Cricetulus griseus: one gene and its partners. The protein of the gene in region 3 interacts with the protein of the main gene of each other region in a biochemical or structural test. Links are inferred from orthologs where the notes say so. Each region holds a gene or a part of one and is shown on either strand. Other genes may lie near its edges. The genes, in order: Esr1, Nr5a1, Nrip1, Ctbp1, Thra and Rxra.

Region 1 (4,501 bases), on a different chromosome or scaffold from region 3:
TCCACCCAGAATTCTACCTGTGTACTTTGTTTTTTGTTGTTGTTGTTTTGTTTTGTTTTGTTTTTTTACCTTTAAGAATCCCTTGTAGGTTTTTTTTTTTTTGCTTTTGTTTTGAAAAATATCTGAATATTTCTTGGAGCACAAGTTTAAGATGGGGTATTTTATGGTGAGATTCTTTGCCACAGAGATGATGGGCCATATTGAATAAAATGTGATCCCTCTTTATTTTCTCAGGCTCACTTTGTAATTATTAGCAAGGCAGTAAATAACCCGCCAAGGAGCAGCCTCATTAGTCCCCATTGAAATTCAGTGGCATTAATTTGCAATAAAAGAACTGAAAATTAAATGGAAAAAAATACTTTCGGGACTCCATCACAAGGTTACAGGATTCACATTTTACCAATACTGTCCTTAACATCAAGGAATTTTAAAAGTATGAATTAGACTTAATGGCTATATTTTGTTCCTCGGGCTTAGAGCAGAAAAAAAAAAAAAGTAGTTGAGAGAATAAATTACTTTCCTCTTCCATCTCAACCCTGAATTAAAGCATGTCAGATTAATTTGAACCCAGCAACTTTTTAAAACTTTTGTTCACTGTTTGTTCTGAATGTGAAAACTGGGCCTGGACCCACTTCAATATCTGACGCTTTGGTTCCTGAAGGTGAGCTTGTATACACCGAGAAATCACCCTTCAGTATCCTCTGGGGCCAGTCTGCACCTTGGTCCCGTTTCTCCCGCTATAAATACATCTGGAAACAGAACACTGAGCAAAAAACGGTCCACGGCTTGTAACACAGAAGGTCTTGGCAGAAGCAGGAGCCAATTGCCGGGAGCCAGCCTACAGTGGGCTAGCTTTGCTTCAGCAGCATGTGGGCATCAGATAACTTTGTACCTGGCCGTGTATTACTGTCCCCTAGGCAACTCTACAGGTAGGTGTTTACCAGAACCACCCACCTAAGCTTTCTGCAGGCCCAGGAGGACAAAGAAGAAATGAGAGGAAAGGGACATCAAATAATAAAATAATTAATAATAATATAATAATAATCTCTTAGGAGAAACTAAAACCGAGGACACAAAACAAGAGTCACTTAGGTCACCGAGAGTCTGTCCTGGATTACCCCGTGTCCTGGACTGCCCTGGCTTCTTACACAGCGCCTGCCTGCGGGGCAGGATGGAGCTAACCAGCAGCATGCCACTCCAGAATTCTCTGCTGGCTGGGTCAGACATGAAACTTAGTTACAGGGGGTTACTGCACTGTTGCTTCTATGTGGTATGTTCTAAACACATGGGACACCTATAAATTCCCAGCTGTCAGAAGTCATATGCCAGCAATGTGCTCTAACTCAACTCAGCCAGAAATCAAAACTTGTTGAGACCCATTCCACTCCCATATCAGCTCTTCTGAGCAACCAATCCAGAAGCCTGGAATGGGGAAGGCAGGGAGAGAGACCCATAGGCACCTCCACCTAAAACCCCATCTTCTCCCGTTTACCTTGCATGTTTCCATTTCAAAACTCTAGATGAAACCACACTGAACCCGACACACCGAAATAATGACTAATCAATGCCCCCTGAGCTCCCCTAGCCCCAAACACCCCCATCTTTAAATAATAAAGGGGACCCTTGCACAAACCACCTGGGCCACCTGGGGTTACTCGCTCTGGGATGTTCTCCCCATAAATAACTTCTCTGGATTGTTTTCCCATGGTTGTGTAGTTAGGAAACACGGGCCTTTTGAATCTGCCTCTCCCACAGACAACTGCGGTTCGAGAATATTGTTGTCGCTGTTGTTATTGTTGTTGTTTTTAAGCTGAGAATGGAGCGAAGGCGGGAAGAAACCTTCCTGACTTCCCCGAGGGGTGGGAGGGGGCGATATGTGGCCAGTGAGGTTCCCCCCTCTCGCGCTCCCTCCCCGGGCCAGACCTGGCACAGCGGCCAACCCGACGTGGTGCGGGTACCTGTAGAAGGCTGGAGGGCCGGTGTCGCGCACGGCATAGGCGCTAGACTCATTCTCCAGGTAGTAGGGCACCTGCTGGCCGTGCGGGTGCAAGAAGGGCGACAACTGCGGCGGCGGCGGGTGTAGTAGCATCAGCGGGCTGGGCGACACGCTGTTGAGCTGGGGGAAAGCCCCTAGGCTGTTGGAACCGAAGGCGGCCGCCTCGGACCCAGGGCCATAGGCGATGCCCGACTGGCCGTAGACCGGCGCCGAGGCGGCGGCGGCGTTGAACTCGTAGGCGGCGCCCTCGGGGTAGTTGAACACGGCGGGCTTGCTGCTGTCCACGTACACCTCGCCCAGGGCCCTCTCCAGGGGCATCTTGAGCTGCGGGCGGTTGAGGGGCTCCAGCTCGTTCCCTTGGATCTGGTGCAGCAAGGCCATTCCCGAGGCTTTGGTGTGGAGGGTCATGGTCATGGTCAGTGGCGGCAGGCGAGGCGCAGACAGGCTCTCCGCGCACGCAGAGGGCTCAGCAGCGGACGGGCCACCTGGAAAAAGAGCAGAGCCGGCTGTTAGAGGCGACGCAGGGCAGGTCCCCTCGGTGCGAGCGTTGGCCCTGGCCCTGGCCCTGGCCCTGGCCTGGCCCTGGCCCTGGCCCTGGCCCTGGCCCTGGCCCTGCCCCTGCCAGGGGGCAGAGGATCCTGTAGAGCCCAGGTGACCCAACTCCAGGGAGCGCACCCCGCCGCTCCCGGGTTCTTCAACTTTACATACTGGTCTTCCCTGCTCTTTGCACATTGCAAACCTGCTGGAAGCCGCCAACCGGGGGCTGCCGCTTTCAGACAACGATGGAAACATTACACCGCGCGCGCGTACCCAAAGAACCGCTTCCCTGAACTTTACTTTCCTGGTCTTCGCGGCTGGATTTCGCTGCAGGGGGTGTGGGGTAGCAGAGGAATCTCCAGCAACCGTGCCCCCCCACCCCCATCCCCAGGAAGACTAGGTTTGCAACAAATGCAGACTAAGCCACAGGCCGCGCTTTTTTTTTTTTTTTTTTTTTTTTTTCTGATGTGTTGCCTGTGTGCTGGTGCCAGGCTCCAATCTGTCTCTGTTTGTCTCTCTTTCTGTTTGATTTGGTCTTCTTGTTGGCTGGAAGTACGTAGTGTATGCATAGAATGGCCCTGGGAGGACCGTGACTGTATCTGTAACTGAGCTATGGCAAATAGAATGGGGTGTGTGGTTGCATATGCAGCCAGCCACAGATAGCTATATTTAGCATTGGTGGACACAGATAGGAGGCATCTAGGGCCAGGAGAGCGGAGATGGAGCATGTATAGAAAGATCTGCGCTTCAAGTCAAGAAAAACCTGCCAGCCTTCAGCTTCCACATCTGGCGAGAAAAAAACAAAAAACAAAAAAAACAAAAACGCTCCCCAAGGGGTCCTGTCCAGCACAGCCATTGCTTTTCTGTTTTTGTTGGACCCCAGTACCAATTTGCTTCCTTTTAAAATTCTCATGCGGATATGATTCAGAAAAACCTTCAGTTGGGCACACATGGGTGTCCCTGCCTTCCACAGGTTATGCAACCAAAACTTGAGAAAAACTGAACGTGGAATGAGACATTTTCCTATAAAATATCGCCTGGGGTCCTTAACCAAGGCTCTGGCAATTAACTAGATAATCCTTTCTGTCTAGCCAGAGACTTTTGAGAGGCTCCCCATGCCCTTCAGCATCCTACCGTATTGAATTAAAATCTGATTGCACACACACACACACACACACACACACACACACACACACAAACACACACACACCTGCTACTGTAACAAAAGACATAAGCTTATACTTTTTAAATAAACTTCCTCTGTCCCAACCTAATGTCCCCTAAAATAACCATTAACCTTTGACTTTGATTGCTATTCCATATGCCCCCAAAGAATACCTGGTACATGCAAATGTCAAGGTTGCTGTGACTAATAGTAACACTTTGAAAATATTTTCTGCTGCGTACACAGTTCATCTAATTCTTAGGGGGAAAAAACAGATCGTTTTGGATGCTACACAGCCAAGCTGATTTAAATCCAAAGACAAAGTTGAGTTTAAAGTCCATAAGTCAGGGTGACAGCAGAGAAAGGGTTAAAAACACATTAGGTGAATCGCAGATATTTCTCTTTATGGCCAGCAACCATTACTTTCTAGAGCAATGTTATCACAGATGATTTAGTTTTCGTAAATCACACTTTCAATTTTCAAATGCCTTTTTAAAACACATGCAAAAGCAAGCACTTCGTGGGGCTCTTTGAAAATCTCACCCAGCCAAATTATATATAAATGGCACAAAGAAGCCTACAAGTCCAGAAAGGGGAAAAGAGGAGCCGCACAGATTCCCCCGATAGAAAAATAGCACAGCCTCTTCTCCGACTAGGATACAGACAGTAGGCAGAAAGGTAAGTTGCTTTCTCAAAATGCTCAAGCTAGAGAGAGAAATCAAAAACGATCCTACCCTGCTGGTGCAAGAGCGCCTTTCCAGAAATGTTCCATGGGCTTGTAGAGGTGAGGGCCGAGACAGTAA
Region 2 (5,269 bases), on a different chromosome or scaffold from region 3:
GACCTTGGCATGTCGCAGAGTGGAATGACCACGTTTCCCATTTCCAGCATCCTAAGGGAGACTCGCGGAAATGGGGTTCCCCCTCGAACTCTCGCTGGCCACTCCACCGCATGGCTCGTCCATCCTCAGCCACCCTCTGGGAGCACCCGACTTCGGATTAAGAAACAGGGCGGGCACGGGTGCTTGCAGTCTGAATAGGCAAATGTGACAGTGTCAATTCGAAAGCTTAGTTTCTACCTTGGCCTCGTGCCTTACGCACACCCCCACGCTCTTTCTTAGCCACTTCCACACTGCAAAACGTCCAGAGTTCCCACCTTGGTCCTGGCCACCCTAAACTGGACTGCCAAACGGGAGCTCGCTTTCTCCCTGCGCAGGCGATGGCCAGAAGCTTCCCTGTACACGACACCTGACCGAATTCCAGGGTGCTCAGAGTCCCCAATTCTCTTGGAGCTCGTGGGCTTCGGAGAACCGAGCTGGGGCCAGAGAGCCGGGAGGTGAGGGTGAAGGCCAAGCGGGGCTGTGGGGAGGACGCGGCCCGCGCCTCCGCCCCCGGATACCGCACGCGCACTTATAGAGCGGCCGCCCCGGCCCCGCGCGGCGGGTTCGCGCAGCGCGCAGTGCGGCGGAGGGGCCCGGGTCCCAGGTGCGCTTCGAGCGGCCCAGCGGGCGGCGGGCGCGGGGAGGCGGGGGCAGAGCGGGACGGTCTCCCCGCCCCCGGCCCAAGTGGCCGTCATCGCAGGCGGGAGGCGCTGCGCCCCTGTGCGGCTTCATCGCGGGCAGCGGCGCGGCCCAAAGGTGCGGGGCGCTGCTCGCGGGAGTGGCCTGACTGGGCGCCGACGTCGTACTGCTCTCGCGTCCCGGGCCGTGGCTCTCGGGATCTGGACTCTCCGCCTGAGGTCTCCCGCAGCCTGCACCCCAGCCTCTATAGCCCGCACCGTCTCCGCCCGAGGTCTCCGCCCCGCGCCCATCACCCCGTTGCGCCCTCCACACCTGCTCCCGGCCCGACGTCCCGGGCTCGCCGGTGGGTGCCGTCGCTGCGTGGCTTTGTCTGCGGACCCAGCCGCAGGGCGACAGGGCTCTCTGCCTCTCCGGGTCGGCCTCTGTCCCTCCACGGGGCCACGCCTCGGAGCTCGCTGCCCGCACCGCCGCCCGCCGAGAGTCTGTCTCCCAGTCCCTGACCCTCTCGCTGGGCACCTCCGTCTCTCCAGGTTATCCTCCTTGTCTTTGTCACTCTGGAGGCCTCGATCTCCCCAGGATGTCTCTCGTTGTTCGGTGTCTCTCCCTATGTCTCTGACTCTGTGTCTCACGGCTTTTCTCGTTGGGCCTGTCACTCGGAACCTCTGATCCTCTCTCTTTCGTTACCCAGCACTGATCGTTCATCTATTTACTATCTACTGATCCTTATCTGTCCATCATCGATCTCACCTATCATTTATCTATCGTCTATCTACATAATCTATCATCTATCAGTATCTACCTACCTATCTACCTATCGGCCAACCATCTATGAATCTCTCCGCAATGTCTCTAGCTCGGCATTCCTCTCTCCGTCGCCCGGGACCCCCCTCTCCGTTGTGCAGCACAGGCTGGGGTCTCTCTAGACTTGTCTCTGCCTCAGCTCTGTCAGGCCCCCAGATCACTCCAGCTGCGCGACCCACATCTCCCTGGTTGTCTGGCGTCGGTCTTCCCGCGCCCGAACCTATCTGATTTTCTCAGAATCGGGGTTTTGTTCTCAGACAAACGAATCAGGATGGAAATGCATCGAATCCGAGGGTCCCGGATCCGGCGCGGCAGAGGCGGCATGGAAGCGGGGCTGGAGCGCGGCGGGTGGTTGAGCTGCTGCTCTGGGATGGCAAACCCCGCACCCGGTTGATGCTGTGGGCTGTCCCTGGAGCACAGACCATGGCAACCCAGGCCAGTCGCCGTCGGCCCGCGCTGATCCGCTCCTCCTTCCACAGGCGGACGCTGCGGGCATGGACTATTCGTATGACGAGGACCTGGACGAGCTGTGTCCGGTGTGTGGTGACAAGGTGTCGGGCTACCACTACGGGCTGCTCACGTGCGAGAGTTGCAAGGTGAGCACGAAACGGAGCAGGGAAAAACTAGGCTGCGGGTGGTAGGGGTGCTAGCGGCAAACGAGGGTCGGGGACCTGGCATTCACTCCCTCCTCTAACACAGGGTTTCTTCAAGCGCACAGTCCAGAACAACAAGCATTACACGTGCACCGAGAGTCAGAGCTGCAAAATCGACAAGACGCAGCGTAAGCGCTGTCCCTTCTGCCGCTTCCAGAAGTGTCTGACCGTGGGCATGCGCCTGGAAGGTGCGAGTCCTGCACACCTGGGACCCCTGACTGCTGCCCCCCAGAGAGCCGTGGGCGGGCCTGGGAGAGGGGCTGAGGGGAAAGGCACAGTTTCTGGATCCAGGTGATTGGCCCCTCTGCGTGATGTTGGGGCCCCAGCTCTGCAGGGAACAGAGGCAACTAGGGAGGCAAGTGCCAGAAGAGACCTTGCAGGCAGGGCCTGCCTGTGTTCGGTTCCGAAGTATCAAAAGTGGGTTAGGGTTAGGGCCATGCCTGCAATCCCAGGACTCAGGAGACTGAGGCAAGTTGATTATGGGCTGCACACTGAGACTCCGCACTCCCTTCCTCCAGGGGTTAAGCCTTTCTCCTGGACAGAGCAGAACCCCAATAGATGGAGGAACTTCCACCCGTCCCTATATATCCCCACACCAGCCAGAGCCAAAGCTCTCAATAACTTGATCATGTTCAAATCCCAGCCTCTTCCCTTGTAGGATGGGGACATTGAGCAAATAAATAATTTAACCCCTCTGAGCTGCAGATACCCCCATCTAAATAATGAGCTAAAAAGTAATGTTTGCCCTGTGTTGGTGGGGGGACTGGGGGCTTACAAAAAGCCGGAGTTGCTTGCTGTGAGGGCAAATGCGCAGCAGAGTATCTGTGATTGTCATCATCATCACACATTCTGCTGCTATTTGTTCATCACTGTCCACCCTGTGCAGCTATCTGTCCAGGTATCTAAGTTTTGCAGGAATTGAGATCCTTTCCCATGCATTTTTAGCTCAGCTCTGAGAAGGTTGGGGTGAGGGGAACAGTGGCTTATAGTCTCCTCTCTCCTATCCCTGTTCTGGTCCAGAGAGGACAGCATTGGCCCATCAGGAGAGACTCAGACTCAGTGGACAGTCATAGTGTCTACCCCGCTGGCCCCAGTCGGGCTGAGCGCCCAGTCAGCAGCTGTCAGCTAAAGTTTTTGCAGAGAAGGCCCCAAAGGCTGGGAGAGCTGTTGACATATCCTGCTATCTAGAGAAGGACTCAGATTGAAGGAGGTACCCTGTCCTGTACCTGGGGCCCTCATCCCTAGCTCCAGGTCCACAGAGGACAGAGAGCTATCCATTGTGGGTGGCAGAAGCCTCTGGAGCAGCCTGAGGGAGCAAAGTAAGTTGGCCACCTCCCAGGAGGAAGATCTGTGCCGGGCAGGCTCCCAAGCTCTTAGTTCTCTGAAACACCACCCCTCTCTCCAGCTCTCCCTTTCCTCAGAGCTTGGGTGGGGTCCTGTCTGAGCAGGGGTTGGATCCACACTCGAGCTGCAGAGATGCACCTGTTAAGTCTGGCTGGTGACACATTCTTGGCCAGAAGAAAAACATCTGGTCAGCAAAATAGGTCCCTTCCTCCAGCACTAAACCAGGCTCCACAGTAGAAGGCAGTGGGGGAAGCCCCAGTCATCTTACAACAGGAGCTTAGTAGAATCAAGAAGTCTGCAACAAGTAGCTGGCACCCTCACCCCCCACTGTGAGCAAAGCAAACTAGGGGCCCTTTTCTCTCACCATTTCCCTGTGAGGTCCTCGGCTGGGCACCTAAGCCTGAGCTGAACCCCAGGTGCTTCCAGTCTGAGGTATACTATGGGGCAGGTCAGGGGGTTCTGCCTGGGACAATCCTTGGACTTCCTGGAGGTGGCAACACTGTGACTGGGCTACGCAATGAGAAAGAAAATGTGAGAGGAAGAAAAGGGATCCAGGCAGAAGGCAAGGTGGGTGAGGAGGTGTATTAAGTGGAGGAACGAAAGGGTAAGTAGGGAGGAGGGGAAGAAGATGGGGTCACTAGAAGGTGGAGAAAAGCCTGGAGTGCCAAGCTAAGGCTATGGCTCTCACCTATGGACTGAGCAGGCCATTGCATGGAGGTGGAGGAATGGTGTTTGTGTGTGTGAGAGAGAGAGAGAGAGAGAGAGAGAGAGAGAGAGAGAGACAGAGACAGAGACAGAGACAGACACACACAGAGAGAGAGACACACACACACACACAGAAAGAGAGACAGAGACAGAGACAGAGACAGAGACTCATCTTTTTGGAAAAGATCTGTGAGAGGTAACTAGGAGGGTGGACCCTGACTGACTTTTCCTGCCCACAGCTGTGCGTGCTGACCGAATGAGGGGTGGCCGGAACAAGTTTGGACCCATGTACAAGAGAGACCGGGCCTTGAAGCAGCAGAAGAAAGCACAGATTCGTGCCAATGGCTTCAAGCTGGAGACTGGACCCCCAATGGGGGTGCCCCCGCCACCCCCTCCCCCACCGGACTATATGCTACCCCCTAGCCTGCATGTACCTGAGCCCAAGGCCCTGGTCTCTGGCCCACCCACTGGGCCGCTGGGTGACTTTGGAGCCCCAGCTCTGCCCATGGCTATGCCTGGTACCCATGGGCCTCTGGCTGGCTACCTTTATCCTGCCTTCTCTAACCGCACCATCAAGTCTGAGTACCCAGAACCCTATGCCAGCCCCCCTCAGCAGTCAGGGCCACCCTACAGCTATCCAGAGCCTTTCTCAGGAGGGCCCAATGTACCAGAGCTCATACTGCAGCTGCTGCAGCTAGAGCCAGAGGAGGACCAGGTGCGTGCCCGAATAGTGGGCTGCCTGCAGGATCCAGCCAAAAGCCGCTCGGACCAGCCAGCCCCCTTCAGCCTCCTCTGCAGGATGGCAGATCAGACCTTTATCTCCATTGTGGACTGGGCGCGAAGGTGCATGGTGTTCAAGGAGCTGGAGGTAGGTATCCCCCCAAATCCCGGGGCCCCCTGACTCTAGTCATTCCTCTTGGCTGTCCAGCATCACCGTGTGTATATGCATTCCTGCCCAATGGCTTCAGGCAGTGTCTGGGGGAGGTACTACTACAGTCAGCAATGGTACTTCCGAGCGATTGCAGCTTCCTGATATCCACTGCCCTCTCCCCATCCCTCTCCTGTCTCTTCAGTCCATCTCTCTTGTG
Region 3 (4,979 bases):
GAGAGCCGAGGATGGCAGATCTATCCTCATCTCCCCATGTGTTCCATTAGACTGACATATTTTGCCTCATCTGTCACCTTCGATAAAACTCTGCTTTCAGATATGAGTTAATTCATTTTCAGTTGTCCTCGATGTTCTAAAATAGTGATGTTTGACAGAATTAATCCAGTGCTCTAGTTCTCTCTGTTCAACTGATATTTAATTAAAGATCTTGGAGGCCATCTTTTAGGCTACACGTTACAAGGAGGAGCATTACTTCCTCCTTGGACAATGTGCTGCGCCACATGGCAGAGGCTGCCTCCCTAAGGTGTCCTGTTCAACAGACTGCTCTCTTGCATAGCCACCACCAGCAGGACAGATAATCACTCTGTTTCACATGGCCTGATTCTCACATAGTTGAACCCCAATTCAACTACTGTCTACATTCTCTCTGACCTTTTCAGTGTCTAGAATTTTGTAGTGGCAATACTCCTCCCTCTATATTTTTTAATCATTGCTTTTGTTTCCCTAGAACCACAAAAGGTACTGAGAACACTTATTTCGTAATATTTCTTGAATCTCTGAAAACAGAAAATCTTTTAGCAGTCACAGCCACCCCTAAAGCTCACGCTTAGAAGGCTCTGCCTTACATTTCTGAATTAATATCTTTTGGAGGCCAGCCCACTTGAGTTGATATGTCATAATTTTCTATTCTGAAGGTGGCGTGGATAATTTAAATTGGCCCTTGCTGTTTATGACTTAAGTAATTGTTCTTTTGGACAGCCTTTAGGAAGCCTCAACTTCTCAAATCATGTTTGGACCATGCAGCAACCATAAGGGACCTGGGGATGGATGTAAGCAAACTCCAGGAGCCATAAACTAACAAGCAGACTCTAGGTGGTGGTATAGGTTATTTTTTATCACAATGTTTTGCTCTTAAAACTGGAGGACCCAGAGCAGCCCTAGCCTCAGCCACAAACACTTCTCCACTGCTAACTCACAATATTTCCGGATAGCTCAATTAGAAAAGTACAAGTTTAACAAAGTTTGGAAAACACAGGTTCTCAAGCTTCTCATGGGTTTTAAACCTGATGTTCCACGGTCTCAAAGGCAGCACAGGGACTCTCATCTGTGTAAAGGCAGCCACCGAACTAACTGCCCTCCTTATTTACTTCTTACCTGTTTTCCTCAAGCTCCTCCTGTACTTTGCAGGCTAACTTTGCAAAGAAATCTCCCCACCGGAGTACAAAGTGGCCTGGAGTAAGTATCCAGTCCTAGACTAAGCAGTAGTGCCTGCTATGTTACTGCTTCTCCTTTGTCTATAGGAACTAAGTAAGACCAAGCCTAGAAAGTTCCTATTGGTGTTGAAGCCAGGCTCCCTGAGTCAATTAAACCCTATGGTCATTACCAAACTGCTGGGCAAAACCAGGGCAACTAAGTCACTTGGAAGTAAAAGGACATTTCAACACACCCAGGCAGCAGCCACATTTAGGGGCCATGCGCATGAAGCACTGTTTGCTTAAAAAGTAGACTTACTTCACTGTCTCTTAGACAAAGGTGGCAAACTGGTGACTGAACATTGAATAACAGCATCGGGAAGGTGCCGCCCACTTGGTAAAACCTATGATTCACTAATAAGCAGGTTCAATGTAATTCATAACTTTAAAGAATGAATTCCTGAAGCCCCTTGCTTTACAAAACCCAGGAAATACGAAGACTATACATCATTTACGCATGTATAGGTGTGTACACAGACACAGACAGGCAGGCACACCGATCTTGTTTTACTTTGAGACAGTCTCTCTCTTCCTCTAAAACACGGTTTTCCCTCAGTGTCACAATCATTTACATTAGCAGACAAACTCAAGCCTGATGTCACAAAAATGAGTTAAAAGTTCTTGCACCTAAGAACGTAGGGACTTTACCACCAACTAAAATGACACACTAATTTTTAAAAAGTATCTTAACATAAAATTACCTAACGTTCTGTTCTTCGTTTACGACCGCCAGAATCCAATTAAATTACTGACATGATGGAAGGTAGAAACTCCTGGAATGCCTCAGAGATCAACATGTGTCAGGCTCACCGCCTGTCCGCCTTTTAAACACAGTGGATTCCTTTGTTCCTTCAGTCTGAACATCAACTCCTGATTAAAATTTGGAAACTACTTTGGGAAGGATGGGGGTGGGGGTCCGGAGAGTGTTGCCACGGACGAGGGTTTCCTCAAACCGGAGTAAGGAGGAGAGTGGCACAAGAGAGAAGAGCGTCTCCGAGGACTTCAGCAGGCTCACACTAAACGCAAAGCCCGCTCTCGGATGCTGGGGAAAAACTAGGCTGAGGCCTCCGGTGCAAGGAGCCTCGCCCTCCCTCGGCAGGCGGGGACCTGGTGCCCAGCAGGCCGGGCCTGGGGCTCAGCGCTGTCCCTGTCCGAGTCACTTTTCCCTGCCGGGAATCGGCGAGCACCGCGCAGGGAGGCACCAACTAAAGGCGGGGAGCAGCGCGGGCGCCACCGCGGGCACCGCTGGGCGGCAGGACCGAGCGGCGCAGCAGCCAGCGCCCGGGGCTCGGGGCCAACAGGAGCAGCCGAGCGGGCTCGACCCGGGCCCCGCCACCCGGCCACCCGCGTGGGTCCCGGCTCAGCACACCCAGGGAGGCTGCGCCCCTCGCGCCACGGCTGGCACGGACGATCCCACGGCTGGGAACTCTACAACTTGGCGGCCGCGTCGGCGCGGGGGGGGGGGGCGGCCGCGAGTTCCCGGGGAGACCCGGAGCCGGGCGCGGCGGCAAGCTGTCCCCGGGATCCGTGTGGCCGGCGTCCCCCGTGGGCCTCCCCGGCCTCCGCCGCCTCCCCGGGCCGGTCACCCAGGCCGTGCCCGGGTGGCTCGGCGTCCGCTCTGCCAGCTCTGCACCGAGCCCGGGCCGCGATCGCCACTCACCGAGGCCGCCTCGGCTCCGGGCCGCCGATCCGCGTCGCTCCCTCCTTCCCGGGTGAGCCGTGCCCTGCGGCCGCGCGAGGCCACGGGCGGTGCGCACGGGCGGGCTGGGGCCGGCTCGTCCTCCGCCTGCACCGCGATCGCCGTCGCCTCCCGAGTTCGGGGCTCTGCTGCAATGTCTGCGAGGCTGACTTTGAGCGCCTCGCTCGCCGCCCGCCCGCCGCAGCCGCGCTCCTCCCTCCGCCGCCGAGTTCGCGGCGGCCGGGTCCCTCCCCTCGCTGCTCCACGCCATTCAGCTCTTCAGCCAAGTTTCTTAACCCTTTTCTGCCCCTCCCTCCCATTGTCACCCGGGTTGATCGCGTACCCGGCGGCTCGCTGGAGCTGGGGAGCCTATCCGGCTCCTGCAGGCCTCCTCTCCGGTGCTCCGGGTGGGAGACCCGGGGCTGCGCGGCCTTGAAGGTAGAGAGAGGACACAGTTCGACCGGGAAAGGGGGGTGCCTTGCTCTCCGAGCAGGAGCCCTGGCTTTCCGGCCCCGTCCAGCCGCCTGGACAGATTGTCCCTAGGGACCAGGTGATCGTCCATGTCACCCAGGCTTGGGCAAGCGTTGTGAGCACCGCAGAGGAATAAAGACACCCTGACCCTTCCCTGGGGTCTCCACCTAGGGGCTGGCACCTTAAGGGTCTCCCTTCCTCCCATTTCACCCACAGCACGCGTTCTCTTGACTGCCTTTTACCCACCCTAATTTCCACCTCCTAGAAATCTGTGTCCCGCTTAAAATCAGGAAGGACGGCGCTATAACTCTAGGTCATTTTGACCCCATGCCCACAGCACCTAGTAGGACCCAGTAATTAATGTGGCGTGATTCCAAGCGGAAAACTGGGAAGGAGACCTGAGGAGTGCCCAGCTCAGCTCCCTAGACGGACGCAGGACCCAGGAACCGGGTTTATCTTCAGCTGCTTTGTCACTGCGAAGTCTCCAGCAGGGTCTGTCGGGCCATCTGCACCACCCCCAGGAAGGATCTGACCCAACAGGACTAGGAGATGGGCTGTCACCTCTTTAAGCAGCTGTGCTCGGTTCAGAGTCTCAATAAATAACAATTACATCACGAAGCCAGGGTGGCAGTACAGTGAAACCTGGGTTTCCTGCAGCCTTGTCTTGCTGAACCCGCCTCTAAATTTGAGGGGGGCTACAGATTGGTGAAGCGAAAAAGTGGAGGGAGGAGAGAATAATAAGAAACCATGATCTCGCCCTCTCGTGTTTTCCGCTTTAAAATCCTCTCCTCGCGAACATTACTTGTGAAGACTCCTTCTGACGCCCCTCCCCACCCAGATGTCACGTTTCCTTTTCACTTTAGTATCTCTCCATGAAAAGAATTACCAGCGGAAAAAGAGTGGTTGTAAAAGTTGGTTTTATTTGACATAAAAAAAAAAACAAAAAACTGAAGTACATTTTCACTTCACCCTGAACTGTAAAGTGGTATGGCTGCGTTAAAATACTCACTGGATAAGACAAATTTGTGGATGAAGGTATCTACTGTCATGCATTTTTGGTAGCATTTGGAAACAGTTACTGATGCACATAGAAACCAAAGATGACCTAAGTGATCAAACTGTATTCTTTACTGTTATGTAATAGTTATACAGCCGGCTATTTTTCAAATGAGCAAGGTCTAGAGTGCCTTCCCAATCTTGAAAGCGAAAGCAGTTTTTCAAATTAATTCTTAATAAAGCGATATCCTAGCACAGTCCTGAACCCATGTCAGGAATATTTTGGCTAGTGGTGATGGTACATTTTAAGATACATATTATCTCTCCCAGTGAGTCACCTGTGCAATCTGTTGTCATCTAATGTAGTGTAAATCTCATGTAACAGAGTAGTATTTGTGTATGCCACAGTTCAAAATCTGCTCAAAGCACGTTAGTAAAAGCATCATTTATCTCGGATTGACAAAAAGCAAATAACTGCAATTAAATGAACAGCATAATTGGAGCTTGGCTCCTTTGGAAAAATATTTTTAAATATTGCACAGGGACTTTCTAAAATGTACTAGAAATGTGTCCTTTTT
Region 4 (5,272 bases), on a different chromosome or scaffold from region 3:
AGAGGACATAGAGGTCATGCGACTTACAGAAAGCTTCACTGGAGACTTGTCTCTAGACAAAGCAGCCCTGTGTGTATCTCCACTGGAGACAATGGCAGGAAGAGCACCACACAGAACTAAAAGAATGGACAGTGATGCCTAGGGAGGGTTACAAATCTGGGTCTCCACTATCTATGCCTCCCTGTGAGCTATAAATCCCACACCCCTGGCCCATACAACATCATCCCAAGCCTGCTAGATTTTTCCTTGAGCCACCCAGGCCAATTTAACCCTGTCCCCCAAAGTCTTCAAGCTCCTACACTGCCTATATAACACAGGTCTGATGCTGACTGGAGGACACGCAAAGACCTAGGACATCACAGCAGCTAAGTCAAGCAAGGTTGACAAAAGAGTATACTAAAAGTTTTAATTTTATAGGAAATGAGCATATCTTCTAAAGATGTCACCCCACAGTACGCAGCCTGGGCTCTGGGAAAGATGGTGCATGTTTGTGATCATGGTCCTCAGTACCTGAGGGCAGGGTGCTGCAGCTGCTGCAGGAATGCTGAAAGACTCAGGAGGCTGAACATGTCTACCCTGCAGAACTCACAGAGTCACCATTACAGTGACTGTGAGGATACAGAGTGCAGACCCTGGTGCTGGCAGACTTTCAAGTGACATGGCTGAACTACAAAACCAACGCAATATAAACTAATACTTCTCTTATACCAGCTTACATCCCAGGGCTTGGAGGCAGGCCACCCTGCCCAGCACCATGCAGGCCAAACCCTTTCCTGCCACCAGCAGAATGAGAGCTGGTGTAAAGGTGTTGCCATGCAACAAAGACCTCGGGGCATTTATTTCTGCTTCACACATCTTGCCCAGGAACCACAGGGCCACCAGGTAACATGCAGGTTCTACTCCAAGAGGGTCCTCAGCAGTACCTAGGTCTGAGGATGAATGGTCACAGAAGCCTCTGGCCAGGTTACAGGGCAGGACAGGCACCACTTTAGTTCAAAAGGCAGGCAGGAAACAGTAAGCTGCTGGAAGCTGGGGGGCAAGGACCTGATCCTACCTGAAACCCTGAGGGGAACACTGGACCTCTCTGAGCCCAAGGCCCAGCTGGAGAGGCTAAGCACACTGCTGAAACCCAACGACAGGCCCACAGGTGATAGAAGAAAAGTAAGAGACCAGAGGAAGAGCAGTGTGTCACTGAGGTCCCACCAAGAATCTACAGGCTCCAGTCTACATTATGCACAACTAACATGACATGGTAGCCTCAAACATCCTGGAAGCTGGCTGACACACATACCAGAGCCATGCCTGACCAAGCTCCAGAGTGGAGAAAGGGCAGCCTCAAACCACAGCTGCCAGTCTAAATAGTAACAAGACAAGGAAGCACACACAGTTCCGGAGAACAGTATCACCCCACATACCCACAAAGCTGTCCCTGAACTTGGCACATCCCACAGCTATTTACCCCATGTTGTGGATGAAACACAGAGAGATCACACATGAGCCCAGGATCATATTCATGGCCATAGCCACCGTTCTTCCAAAGATCATGCTGCCCCAGGACTCAAAGATGTTGGCTCCATTCTATAGCAGTGGGCCTAGTGTCCTGCATGCCAACTACAGTGGGGTGGGCTCCTGTACACTCCTGTTTATAATGAACAAATGCTCTCTGACTCTGGAAATGACAAAGCAGAAACAGTGAGGGAAAATCTTGGTGTCATCTTGCTGACACCCTGGCTCACAGGGTTCACCTTCCTGAATACTAGAAAACTCCTTCCCTTTTCCTTCCTAGAAAGCTTATTTGTCCTAACCAATCACAAACTCATCAGAACAAGGGTGATGGCCCTGGGCCTGGAAAGGTTTGACAGGCAAGGCCAAGATGCAGGCGGTCCTCCTTATCTCTGAAAATCAATGAGCTGGGCCTGCCTTCCCTACCCCACATGAAATTCTGGCCTATAACCCTGATGGTTTGGGTGCAGAGTAGCTTCCCACAAACACACACACAATATATAGAATGCCTTCAGGGAGTTACAGCTCTGAAATAGTGCAGTCTTGGGGGAGGGGTACCTACCACCGGCCCAGAATGCAGGGCAGGCCTGGAGGCCCATACCCTGCCACACCCTGAAACAGGCTGACAGACTCTGCGAAACGGCCTTGTGTGATAAGAGGCGCAGTAGGCCATCACAGGGCGCCTCCCTCCTTCCCTCGTGCCCACAGTTCCGTATTTCCTGCTGGCAGCACACACTGCAAGGATCTTTCAGGCTATGAGGAAGACGGCAGTGAGTGTCCTTGTGAGGGCAGAGATGGGTTCAGGCAGGCCCTTTTATTATTAAGGTAGAAGAGACAGAGAGGGGGACACCATGGGGCGCTAGGACGGTGGGCAAAAGCTCCTCTGGGCTCTGCAACCTCTGGGCCGCCCCGCCCGAAGGTGGGGTCGGTCCCACTGCGCGTGCGCCAGGCTACGCAGCCAGCGAACGCCGCCAAGACTGCCCTCCACCAGCAGGACTCCTGCGGTTTAAGGACTTTCACAAATGAATAAAAAACTTAAATGGTCCAAGGCCAGGGGCCAAGCTGAGCATCACTAAGTCGCCTGGAGGCGTGATGGGCGTGTATGCCACCCATGTTCCCTCAATGCCACCTCTAGAGAACTGCTCCCGGATCCGCCAACCCGAGGCCCAGGCGGGATTCGCAGGCTCGTCACTCCGGGAACACCTAGGTCCCGCCCGGATGGCCACGGGAAGGAGCCTCGTGGGGCCATAGGCCAAGAAGACGGGCCCAGCTCGGTCACAGCCTGGGTCGAAGCACCACAGGCCTCTTTGTCACCTGCACGGGTCGCGAGCGGGTAGGGGAAAATAGGGACGCGCACTCATGTGCAGCAGTTCGCGCATGCGCCCCGCCCTGTGGCCGCACCGGCCCCCCCCAACCCCGGCGCGCTCACCGAGCGCGCACGCGCACTCGCACACAAAGCCAGCGCCGCGCGCGCCCGGCCGCCCCCCCCGCCCCCCGCCGCAGCCGGAAATGCGCGCGCGCGGCGGCCTTACCGAGCGGCAGGCCCTTGTTGAGCAAGTGCGAGCTGCCCATTGAAAGGCGCGGGTGGCCGCGGCGCCCGATGAGTGTGGCGGTCTCCGCCGCCGCGAGGCCTACGCCTGGGGCGGCTTCGGCGCAGTCTGCTGCTCCGCCCGGCCGCCTGCGCCCGGCCGCCGCGTGCCGAGCCGCCACCGCGCGCCGCCAGCCGCGCTCCGACCGACGAGCGGGCGGGGACACGCGCGCGCGCGCGCGGGCGGGGCCTCGGTTGGTCTGCTGTTTGCCGGCAAGGCGGCACGCTGGACGTACGCGGGCGGCTCAGGGGCCGCGCTGCCCGCCGGCCCGGCGCTCGGCCCCCACCACTCGCGCCCCTCCCAGGCTGGATCCTCTTCCTGGACACGCCCCCAGATGTTCCCGCCCCGGGCCGCCCCTCCCCTCCCCTCCCCTGCGCGTACCCGGGACTGCGCCTCTGCCACTCCTTGGCGCGGTGACCCGGGCCGGAGCCCGCGTGGTGGAGCAGCCCATCCGCGTGGGGCGCTACCGGGCTGGTCGCCGCGGCCTCGAGCGGATAGCGAGAGGGGCGCACCCGGCCTGAGCACGGCCGGAGCCGGGGCCGCGGACCCAGGACCCAGGAGCTGGACAGCGCCCTAGCCTGGGAAGGTGATCTGAGTGGGAGGCTGGCTGTTTCTGGAACTGTCAGGCAGGCGTGGCAAGTGATACCACTTAGCGGTTCAAAAAAAAAATTTTTTCACGAAAACAGCCCAAACTGGAGGGTGCTGAAGGCCATTTTGTTACCTACATGCTGTGAAAATCAAATCTTGAGAAAAGTGGGCAGATCGAGTGACTGATGACAAGGGTCTGGGCGTCTGTTTACAGAGCAAATGCTTTGAAAATACCTTCCAATTCGATCCATTAGCTGGCATGGATAGAGAAAAGGATCTAACAGGTGGAGTTTCAAACCTGCTACGGTACTTCCTAAACAGACTAAGGGCTGGGGTAAGACCAGCAGACATACACCTCCCCTTAGCCCTCACCCCCATCCGGAACTGCCTCTGGACTGCCTCTCCCGCTCCGTTCCAGTTTTCTCAGGCAGCAGGTAACTCCCTAGAGATCGTCCAAAGGGCTCCTCCCAGTTCTTCCATCCTAGCATGGCAACTCCATGGCAGCCTGACACCTCCCATTTCAGTCTACCCAATTCTCATTTTTCTTGCACAGTGCGACCAGGGCCACCACATCGGGAGACTGTATCAGGGCTTGTTTGAAACCCGTTAGGGCCTCCCATTGCGCTAGAGGAAGCCCAGGTTTCTTGTCCCCATCACGTTGACTTGGACCCTTGTGCCTGCTGTAGGACTACCGGGCTGTCATCCTCCTACTCCAGAAATAGCCCCTTGCCGGCAGGAGTCGACTCCTGAGTATTTGAAGTGGAGAGCTGCTGGGTAGGGATATGGAAATGGACAGGGTCTGAACACACCCATCCTAAGAGAGACCTGACTTTATGATTGCCCAGAGGCACCTGCACCACCTGCTTCTGAGAGAGGATCTGGTGTCTGTTGGGCCTCACTCACCCTGCACTCCACTCCGCTCTGCCCAGCTGCTCAAAACCTGAAAGCCTGAGTCATCATCCTGGTGCCAGCTAGCCAGTGAGAGAGTGTGATGTTCACCCTTGTCTTGACTGTCTCCACCCCAGGCCACAGAGTGGCCTGGGTACCTGGTAAATGGACCCATCCTGCCTGCCTCTCTCAGCTGTCCACCCTCTGGCAAAGCAGTCCTCTTCCTGGGAGGACAAGACCAGAGGAACCCCCAGCTCTTCCCTTACTTGAAAGCACTAGGTTTGCATCCAAGGAATGAGCATGCTAACATGGCTCTTCCTCAGCTTAATGAAATCACATCTGTCTGCTGAGGCTAGAGGACACTCTGTACTCAACCAAAGAGACCTATGGAGAGACAGACGGTTCCCAAGGCACTACCCTGTCCACCAGCCATTCTTGTAAGCCATTTGAGACTCTTAACTCTGCTTTTCTCAAATGTTGTTCAGATTACACAATTTACAGAATAGTAGTGTGGAAACTGCATGGAGCTTTGAGCATATCCACTCTAAGACATATTCTAGGCTCTAAGGAGGTCTCCAGGGTAATTGCTCACTTCCTTTTCTGGTCACCAAGACATCGACACCCACATATCTGCTGATCACCTAGGAAGCATCTGGAAGGTTTAGGGGTGGTGTCCCAGTCAGTGGAGGCTGCTGATTTGGAAC
Region 5 (5,164 bases), on a different chromosome or scaffold from region 3:
GACTCTGCACACTGCAGCCTCAGTCCCCTACTGCAGCTGCCACTGTACAGTGCAGGCTTCCTTCAGCCTGTGTGTGTGTGTGTGTGTGTGTGTGTGTGTGTGTGTGTGTGTGTGTCATCACCAATAACTGTTACCTTCCACTTTACTCTTCCTCATCCCAGTTTTCCTTCTCTTCCCTTTTGTCTCAGGAGCCCCAAGAGAGGCATCCTTCCTTCCCCACAAGCATTGCAAACCCTTAAAATCCCTTGTAAGAGAAGTGGCTCCGTGGTTCAGGGTGTAGGTGGCTGAGACTAAGATGAGCAAGGGCAGCCCAACTTGGATAGACTGTTGGTCAGCATCCCACTCAGCAAACGATTCTATCCAGTATAAACTGAACGGTTAGAAGAGCAGCTCCCCTGACACACTCACTGGCTCCTCCCCAAGAGCAAGCTGGGGAGGCAGGGCTCCGCCCTGGCAGCCGTGGGAAGGCTATGGCCCCCGCTGGTAAAACTGGGCTAATGACAGCGGGGGAACCGGCGGGGCCAGAGGGGGGTGCTAGGGTAATTAGACCTCTGCCTGGCGGTAGTAGATCCCGAGATGAAAGGGGCTATGGCGTCACTGACAGGGTTTTATGTCCATGAATGCAAAGGGGTGTGCGTGTGTGCGCGCGCGCGCGCGCGCGCGCGTGTGTGTGTGTGTGTGTGTGTGTGTGTGTGTGTGTGTGTTTGGTGCACGTGCGTGCGCGTGCGCGCGCAGGGGTCCGGAACTAGCATGGAGACCTCTCCTTTGAGAAAATGAGTCCATCTATTTGCAGCCACTCTGCTCCTTAGGTTGGCCCTGGAACCATTTGGATTTTGATGGTGCAAACATGAGAGGAGATCGTACCTCAGTGAAACTGGGAGCCGAGGGACAGTAGAGAGTCTTGCCCACCCCCCTCCCCAAGCTTAGCACGGGCTGTATATTGTTGGGGAATGGCTGGTGGGCACTGAATAGAAAGAGCCTCTATGGAGAAAAGAAACGTTTGCAGGAGGAGGCAGTGGATCCAGCATTAATGTTAGAAATGAGAAAGGAGGCATGAAAATGAAAAATGAGACTCCAAAACGGTTAGAAAATAAAATGGTTGAAGTTAGGAGGATTTCAGAAGTTACCTGCCCAACACTTGGATTTTAAGCTCTAACTAACCCTGGCAGCTGTAATTTGTTCAAGGTCACACAGAGAGTTGCTTGGAGAGAAGGGACCCGAACTATGAAACAAACCTATCGTTTGGTATCTGGGCTTTCTCCCGGATTTATAAGGTGCAGAGAACTCCCCGAAACTTCCCCTCTACCTCAGGGTGCAAACCAGAAAACCCCCAATTCTCCCAGCGAGTAAAAAGCTATTAAAAAAAAATGACATCTTGCTCAAAATGTGTCACAGAGCCTCCTCGCTCCTCGACGGAGCCTCAGGGGTGAAGTGGGCGAGTCCGAGCCTAGTAGAGGCCAAGGCGAACGAGGGGCTGCGGGGCGACCAGCCGGGGTCCCGGGGCGCGGCGCGGGCCGAGGGGCGGGGGCCGACGGCTGCGAGGCGGCCTGCAGGGAGCAGCCGCGAGCCGGCCGGGCGCGCGGAGCCGGAGCCCCAGCCGGAGCGGGGCGGGGGAGGGAGGAGCCTGAGCGGCCGCCGCCTCTGCCGGAGGAGCGCCGGGGCCGCCACACTCGCCCCCCGCCCCCCGCGCTCACTCGCACTCACACCCCGGCGCTGGAGGCGGGCGGCCCGGGCCCAACCGGCCCCCCATGGACGCCCCCAGCACGGGGCGCTGAGACCCCCGCGTCGTTGCCCAACTCGGTTCAGCGCGCCAAGCCAAGGTAAGGAGGAGGGAGCGAGGGGGCATTAATATGCAAATGCATCGCGATTGATTATGCAAAGCCGCGGGTCTCTGGCCAGCTCGGAGGCGGGCTGGGGGCGGCCAGGGGGTTCCCGTCGCCGACCTGTGCCTTTCCGGGCGCCCGGGTGACCCTGTCACAGCCCGAGAGCGAGCCACTGACGCCCTGGGAAAGGGAGGTGCTGTTAAGTGGTCGGTGGGCCCCGGGGTTCGCTCGCGGAGATGGCGTCTGGGCCTCCCCTTCGAGGGCCCGCCCGGCCTCTGTCCGGCCGGTCTGCTGCGCATTCCCGGGTTGGGCCCCGCTGCCTGCCGAGGCTCCCCCGCCCGCCGCGCCGCGGTTTGTTTACGGTGTGCCAGAAGCCTGTCGTGCCCCCCCAACCCTCCCCCCTCCGCCAAAGAGGGCGAATGGCCTTTGCAAAGCCGCCTCCAGCTACGGAGGGCAATGTGGGTGCGGCAGGGTGGGGGGGGGCCTTGCATGGGCTGGGGGAGAGTGAAGTCCCCCTCCCCTCCCTGCTTTCCCAGTTGAGCATGGCTTTCTGGTTGCAACACTCCTAATTGCAAAAACGCGGCGGGTGGGGTGGGGGGAATGTGAGCCTGTAGTAGTGGGGGTGTACTAGTGGATGGTCCCTGGATGATTAGGAGAATTGCTGGCCTGTGGTGGGGAAGAGAGGAAGCAATGGACCCGTGTTTGTGTGAGTGTGTGTGTGAGTGTGTGTGTGTGTGTGTGTGCTCCCCTGTTTCCCTCCCTTTGCAACGTGTCTCCGGTGGCCCTTTTCTGTCTAGGGCCCTCCCTTGTCCAGTGTGAAAGGAAGGCCTGGGAAGATGTCAAAGGCAATGGAGAGAGCCACCCATTTCGGGGACCAGGGGTGGGGGGGTACACAGAAGGAAAGCCGGGGAGATGGGAGCCTGCCCCTGAATGCTGGCTCTGGACCCAGGAGGGGGAGGGGATGAAGGGGGCCATTGTCCAAGATGAAGGGGGAGGCAAAGGTGACATGCAGACACAGATATGCCCACACAGACAGCCACACGAACACTCAGGGACACCCAGGCAGATTCAAGGACAGGAGCTGCTGGACACACCCACATGGGGACAAGGGAAGAGGCAGACTGCTGCTGCATGGTGGAGCTCAAAGGGGTTGGACACACCCACGGGAGACCAAGAGCAGAGAGACAGCCTGTGCACATACCCACGCACAGGGTCACAGGGAGATGCTGTCACACACAGGGGCAAGGAAGAGTCGCTGTCACTATCACATGCATGCATGCATGCATGCACACACAGCAGTTGCACACAGCCGCACAATTACAAAAGACCCTGTCACTCACAAGCACACACGAGCTCACATGTGCCCAGTCATGCAGTCATCATTGCTTGCCATGACAGTCACTGCCACTCAGTCAAACAAAAAACACAGCTACACATCAACACATGTGTACTCAACTTAGCAACAAGTATTTTCCTGGGTTCATCTGTGGAGCTGAGGTTCTATGGACAACAAAACCTTTGCTACCGAGAAAATCAAATTCATCTGTATAAAAAGACTTTTCTGCATATTGGTGCACAGGATGCATTCCTGATAATATAGTCTGTTACTGTTGGTTGTCATACCACCCAGTTACTAGATGGCAATCTCCTTGAGACATGGGAGAACCTCTAGAAGAACCCTGGATCCCACCCAGAGCCTAGCACAGTGTGTGCTCTGTAAACACTTGTTAATTGATTGACTGTAGGAACTCCAGGCACAGGTGCACTCCTTTACACCTAGTCTCACAGGTGCAGGGGCCATGCACAGGGCTCCCGAGTGCAGTCACAGGTCCCACCTGGCAGTGTCCAGATAACCCTTGCAGATAGACACATTGTAGCTAGGGCAGGAACGCACTTAAATGCACACAGCCACAGACTATTCCCTCTGGCTTCTTTCTATCTTCTAGGCTCAGCCACTGTGTAGCAATGGGCTCTCCCCCCCCCCTTTTAGAGGGACAGAGAAACAAGAGCAAAGTGGGTACAAAGGGGGTTCCAGAGGGCCGAGTCATGGGCCTGCAGCAATGTCCAGTGACTTCTAGCAGCTGGGATTGTCCTGGTTGCTGGGGGAGGGGTGTCTGGGGAAGAGTTGGGAGTGGCTCTCTGGCTCTCTCTCATCCCTAGCCTATAAGCCAGTGGGGACCTGGCTGCCCCTGCTAGGGTTTATTTGGCTGGGCCTTTCCTGGGGACCCTTAGTTGTCCCCAGCTGAGTGCTTGCCTCCCACTGTGAATCTGCCCCCTTTCTCACCTCTGGCCCTCTTGTCCAAACTTGGAAGCTTTCCTTGGGAGGCCGTATGCTGGCTGGCGAATGTCTGTGTGAGTGAGGTGTATTTTTGACTTGGAATTTCTCTCTAACTCTGTCTGTCTTTCTGTTGCTGTCTTGGGGTGTCTGACTCTCTCTCCTTGTGTCTCTGCCAGTCTGTAACTCTCTCTCTCTCTTGCCCTGTGCTTGTCTTCATTTCTGCCACGGTCTCTTTTCTCAGAGCTGGCAGCAACATTCTTCATACTTTTCCAGTTGTTAATGCTCAAATTCGGGCCCTTTGGCCCGCCCAGCCTGCTTCTGGGGTCAGCAGGAGGTTGGGGGGGTGGGGGGGTGCTCAGCTGGCTGCTCAGGACATCCTGCCTTTCCTTAATGCTGCAGCTGCGGCTGGCCAGCATGTTTTGGGGGCTGGGGATGGGGAAAGGGAGGGGAGTAGACTCCCCTGTTGACCCCTGAATCTGGCAGGCCCACAGGGAACACCAGTTCAGTGGGAGCACTTTAGGCTCAGGCTACAACTCTTTAAGGAGGTGGTGAGGAGGCTCCTCCCCTAACTGACCCAGGCGGGAAAACCATGCTCCCCCCTCCCACACACACACACACCTTGTGCAGTGACAGGAGTTGGCAGGACCCAGTTGGGTCTGCATTAGGACTCATGATGGCCTTTCTTCACACCCCTGGCAGCTGAGACCTACCTCAGAGATGTCCCCGACAGCTGTGTCTTCCTTGCCCAACTTCATGCTTGGTTCTGAGGGTACAGCTGTTTAGACTATGACAGTTTTGGGCGGGTTGTACCCATACATGAGGACAGAAAGAGTGGCTCTTTGAACAGGGGCTACTGGCACAGGAGACCCAAAGCCTGGGGGAGGGCAGTGGCACCAGCATGCCGAGCTCTGCTTCCTGTAGCCTTGGTCTGTTTGGATGAGAACATACTAGTAATGATTCCATCATAGAATATGTATGGACTTCAACAGAAAGATAAACTGAGGTTTATCACAAGGCATACATAGCCAGATGAAAGAACAAGGTATCATTATTCTATCAGGTC
Region 6 (4,501 bases), on a different chromosome or scaffold from region 3:
CTTAGCCCCTAATGGCCATTGGAAATCTCCTAGTCAAGGTCATACTTAAAAGAACATTATACTCTGTATGAAACATGTGCCAGTCAGAATGGCCAGGCTAGGGACACTCACACACACATTCCAGACCCATAGCACACAGTTCTGTATATGCTGCCCCACCACCAGCACTGGGAATGAGGTGCAGCTACTCCCTGCACCCCCTGCTGACCTCATAGCATGAAAGAATCCCACAGGAGCATAGGGCTTCTCATGAACAAGAAGACCAGAATATACTGAAAGAAGGACAATGTGAAGAGAAAAGCAAATCCCAGCACTGCCCTCCTCAGGCTGGTCCTAGACAGGGGCAATTAAAGAGCTGGGAACAAAGTGGAAGGACACACAATAGCCATTGGATTGGCCCCATGCACAACCCAGGCAGAGGAAGCTGGAGGGGCAATGCTGGAGTGAGAGTAGAAGACCTTCAGAGAGTGCCCAGCCCTATGAGGCCCAGGCCTAAGACTGATGGAAGAACCTCACCCAGGCACCCACACCCCCCCCCACACACACTATCTATCTATCTTCTATCTATCTATCTATCTATCTATCTTCTATCTATCTATCTATCTCCCTCTATCTATCTATCTATCTATCTATCTATCTCCCTCTATCTATCTATCTATCTATCTATCTATCTCCCTCTATCTATCTATCTATCTATCTATCTATCTATCTATCTATCTCCCTCCCAACCAAGGAATACTTTCCAAATGCAGGGCTAGGAGGAGACAATGCAGCTGGGGAACCTAAGGGTCTAGTGACACACCTTGACATCTGGCACCTCTGGGGAGTTTCCTGGTCTGTTACACAGCCTCCCTAACCCATACATATATATCTTGCTAATAAAACAGGCTCAGAGTCCCATTGCTCAGAGGGCCTGTGGATTAGCAGGTGACCCTACCAGGGATGAAACTGGAAGTAGCCTTGAGAAGAAGGGGAGCCCAAGATGACCCTAACATTCAACAGGCTCTGGGGGGATATTTTGGCGGTCTCTAGAGGTCCCCCTCCACCACTCCAACCCAAATGTGCCTCATACCATGGGCTCTCCTGATCATCCCCTCACTAGGCAGATGGAGAGACAGGAAGTCAGAGACGACCCTGTGGATACCCTCTCTCTTGCCCACCTTCCTTCCTCCTACTTCTGCCTCTGCCATGCTTTCAGCCCAGTGCTCTCCCAGTCATGTGCTGGCTCAGCCCTGCCACACCTCAAGAGGGGACTGTGTACTCAGCTCCTGTCTTTGGGGTCAAGCTGCTAGTAGGATGGTCCTGCTCTGTCTTTTCTATTCTAAAACCCCAAGGCCCAGCTACACAGCAAGCACTAGATGAAAATCTGGTTGGGGGAAGGGCTGGCAAGAAGGCAGTCCCTCAACATACAAGCTATACAGACAGCAGTCTCAATAGCACAGGCCAGGAGCTCCACTGAGCACTGAGGAGAGGGAGCACCCTGTCCCTGAAGACACACAAAGGAACCAGCCAGGCTATACCAGAGTCTGCCAAATTCAGGCCTAGACTCTGCTCAAATCCCTCTACTCTAACAATGCTGGGGAAGAGGACAATGGAGGCCTCCTGGTTCTGATGAGAAAAGTGTGCTGGGCAGGAGGTGGGTATTCAAGGCCTACCTTCCCGCTTCATGCCCATGGCCAGGCACTTCTGGTAACGGCAGTACTGACACCGGTTTCTCTGCCTCTTGTCGATCAGGCAGTCCTTGTTGTCACGGCAGGTGTAGGTCAGGTCTTTACGTACTGTCCTCTTGAAGAAACCCTTGCATCCCTCACAACTGTACACTCCATAGTGCTTGCCTGTAGGGTGTGGACAGAGGGATGGGTGAGCTATATTGACAAGATCCTCACCCATGTGTCATGCTGCATGCTGGGGCTCTGCCTTCAGGTTTCAGAACCCCTGTCTAGGCTCAGGCTAGACCCTGCCTGGTCCTCCCTGCACAAATCAGAGACCAGGTCCATCCACCTTCTCTCTATCTGCAGGGATTAGGGGTCACCACCCCCTAAGGACCAGCATACCAACACTGATGATGTTGTGCTCTCTGTGCCTGAGCTATTGTGTTCTAGAAGAGTATAGACACACTGTTCTTGGCTCTTAGGCTACTGGGGTTCAGTAGCACAATGCAGGGGGGCCCTTCAACAGGCTTGGCCCAGACAGGAGGCTAGCTATCATTGCACCTCAGCCATCCATGCCTGCATCTTCTCTTGGCATGCCTCCAAACCACCCTTCCCATCCTAGTGCCCACCTTACCTGAGGATAAAACAAGGCACCTGGAGCTCTCAGCCCACCCCTTGCTCTACAGGCACGGGAGGCACCCCTGGGTTCCTGCCTCCCTGAACCCAGCCCAATGGAAAAATCTAGAGAGGCCCTGTGTGCTTTGTCTAGGTATGGTGCTCCTGCCTACCAGGCAGTCCTACCTGAGGAGCGGTCCCCACAGATAGCACAGATGTGCTTGGTGAAGGATGCCATATTTCCTGAGGGGTGGGCAGGAACCTTGAGGACTCCATTGAGGCCCAGTGGGGGCTTGATGTCCTCACTGCTGCTCACTGGGTTCATGGGTGAGTTGAGCTGCAAGAGGATGAGTCAGGATAGGTCAGCCTTGGGAGGCTGGTGACAGGCATCAATGAGTGCTGGGCTTCCTACAACTCCACTCTACAGAGCCTAACTCAGGACACATGGCTAAGGGACAGCAGGACCATCATCTTTAGAACAGGGGTCAGCTCTATGTCCAGCCCTCAGAGTTCCTCCCAGAAAACCCAGGTCACTGCAAGGTACCAGAGACCACACATAGCCAGGGATCCCATGTCTCTGAGTATCATACAGGAGGCCCACTCCACCACCCACCAAAGAGCTACCTCCGTCACTTAACACCTGCCATGGGTCCTGGACACATGAGAGCACAGGTGCTCTGGGCTCCTCCACCGCCCAGGTGAGAACAAGAGGCCCAGGCTCGGGGAGGAGATTGGACTGGGCTCCTTCAGAGCCACACATATCCCCACCACCCTGCATGACAGAGGAATCTGGGGCAGGACAAGACAGGAGAGCAAGTGAACGCCCCACACATCAAGCCATAGGGCCAGTATGGCCATCTTGGCCTCAGCACACCCCTTGCCTCGCCCCGCCCGCTGGCCGCCAGGGGCAAGCGTGGGAAACTCACCCTGTCACCCAGGCAACAGCTGCAGCGTCGCAATGACACAGCAGTTTTAGTTCCGCAGCCTCCAACCCAGCTCTGCAGTAAGCACACAGTCCAGAGGCACTTCCCTCTGCCTGCCTATCTGCCAGGGCGCCAGAGCCCAGCTGGGCAGTCCCCCCACTTCTGAAAACCCCTGACAAAGGCAAAAAGCCAGCTGTATGGTTGCACTGCCCTTGCATAGCCCCTGCTGCCCCCCTGCATGGGGAAGCTCACCTCCTTCCTCAGGGCCTCCTACCCCATCCCCCTTTCTCACGGGACAGGAATAGCGCAGAAGCACCAGAAGCTCTCTCTCCATCAGGGGGCTAGCACTCAGAATGACTCGGCAGCCCTAGCTGGCCAGGGTTGTGAGGCTGGCAGGGAGGCTCTGCACGGATGCCTTATTCTGGCCAGCTGAAGGGGGCTGCTGGGAAGCCTGGAGGCCCACAGAGCTGTGTCAGGGGGTTGTCAGGACATGAGAGTCCTTGGTGGCAAGCAGGACATCCTACTGCAGAGGAGAGCAGTTCATATGCTAACTGGATGAAGATCCTATGTGGGGATCCTGGGGTAGCAGGGAGACACCACTGGCTTTTGCTAGGAAGACTGCACACACCCTCCATTCTGCTCACTATATAGGGAGCCTAACCCTGAGGTTCCTGGATGTCTTAGCTCTGGGCAGCATCATCAGCTCAGGTCCAGTGAAGCCCTGATGCCAGGGCAGAGCAAAGGCTGGGCTGTAGCACCCTACCTCACCACAGGTCCACAGATACCCACAAGGTTCCTCAGAACTCCACTAGCAGACAATCCTGGAATCTCTTCCCAGATGTGAGCTGATGGACTAGGGCAGTCTCCATCTATCCTTCCCTCCCTCAACCTCCCGCATGGACCATAACCCCCATTCACCCGACTTGTGTGCTTCCTACACATCTCTCAAGAGACCCAGGACTGGACAGCCCTCTGCTGGAGCCCAGAGCTTCCCTGGATTGGGTGGGGGCCATCCCATTTCCCCTTTCATATCCTTGGCATTTATTTCAGTTCCGCCTCATTGGTACCCCACCTGGTCCCCACCTACCTCTCAGGCATCCTCTCTTCTACCCCTACCTCATCCTGTCCTCCAAGACCCAGACCAACCCTCAACTAGACCTCTTGGATGGGCTATCCACCTGCTCTCAGGCTGTGCGTGCTCCCCACAGCTTCATTCCCCATCTGGCTGGCTTCAGGCATCATGAAACACCTGCTTACAGAGTCACTGTGGCCCCCACATTAGGAGACCCTCCCATACTGAGGATCAGAGGC

Evidence for each region.
Region 1: the proteins of Nrip1 (region 3) and Esr1 form a complex in vitro, tested with the Homo sapiens proteins (4 studies listed by BioGRID, with this or other methods). The link is inferred for Cricetulus griseus from reciprocal best matches to the Homo sapiens genes NRIP1 and ESR1.
Region 2: the proteins of Nrip1 (region 3) and Nr5a1 form a complex in vitro, tested with the Homo sapiens proteins (2 studies listed by BioGRID). The link is inferred for Cricetulus griseus from reciprocal best matches to the Homo sapiens genes NRIP1 and NR5A1.
Region 4: the proteins of Nrip1 (region 3) and Ctbp1 form a complex in vitro, tested with the Homo sapiens proteins (2 studies listed by BioGRID and IntAct). The link is inferred for Cricetulus griseus from reciprocal best matches to the Homo sapiens genes NRIP1 and CTBP1.
Region 5: the proteins of Nrip1 (region 3) and Thra form a complex in vitro, tested with the Homo sapiens proteins (4 studies listed by BioGRID). The link is inferred for Cricetulus griseus from reciprocal best matches to the Homo sapiens genes NRIP1 and THRA.
Region 6: the proteins of Nrip1 (region 3) and Rxra form a complex in vitro, tested with the Homo sapiens proteins (2 studies listed by BioGRID). The link is inferred for Cricetulus griseus from reciprocal best matches to the Homo sapiens genes NRIP1 and RXRA.

The regions. Positions count from the first base shown.
Region 1 is NC_048595.1:282,391,980-282,396,480, reverse strand, and holds part of Esr1 (estrogen receptor), read right to left. Parts: intron 2,482-4,501; coding exon 1,959-2,481; intron 1-1,958.
Region 2 is NC_048599.1:149,976,569-149,981,837, reverse strand, and holds the start of Nr5a1 (steroidogenic factor 1), read left to right. Parts: upstream 1-1,973; coding exon 1,974-2,075; intron 2,076-2,178; coding exon 2,179-2,320; intron 2,321-4,420; coding exon 4,421-5,049; intron 5,050-5,269. UniProt on the Homo sapiens protein: Transcriptional activator. Essential for sexual differentiation and formation of the primary steroidogenic tissues. Binds to the Ad4 site found in the promoter region of steroidogenic P450 genes such as CYP11A, CYP11B and CYP21B.
Region 3 is NC_048597.1:18,833,495-18,838,473, reverse strand, and holds the start of Nrip1 (nuclear receptor-interacting protein 1), read right to left. Parts: upstream 3,047-4,979; 5' UTR 2,917-3,046; intron 2,563-2,916; exon of another isoform or gene 1,958-2,562; intron 1-1,957. UniProt on the Homo sapiens protein: Modulates transcriptional activation by steroid receptors such as NR3C1, NR3C2 and ESR1. Also modulates transcriptional repression by nuclear hormone receptors.
Region 4 is NW_023276807.1:102,316,799-102,322,070, forward strand, and holds the start of Ctbp1 (C-terminal-binding protein 1), read right to left. Parts: upstream 3,266-5,272; 5' UTR 3,076-3,265; coding exon 3,036-3,075; intron 1-3,035. UniProt on the Homo sapiens protein: Corepressor targeting diverse transcription regulators such as GLIS2 or BCL6. Has dehydrogenase activity. Involved in controlling the equilibrium between tubular and stacked structures in the Golgi complex.
Region 5 is NC_048600.1:111,824,701-111,829,864, forward strand, and holds the start of Thra (thyroid hormone receptor alpha), read left to right. Parts: upstream 1-1,654; 5' UTR 1,655-1,820; intron 1,821-5,164.
Region 6 is NC_048599.1:139,422,996-139,427,496, reverse strand, and holds part of Rxra (retinoic acid receptor RXR-alpha), read right to left. Parts: intron 2,605-4,501; coding exon 2,454-2,604; intron 1,836-2,453; coding exon 1,656-1,835; intron 1-1,655. UniProt on the Homo sapiens protein: Receptor for retinoic acid that acts as a transcription factor.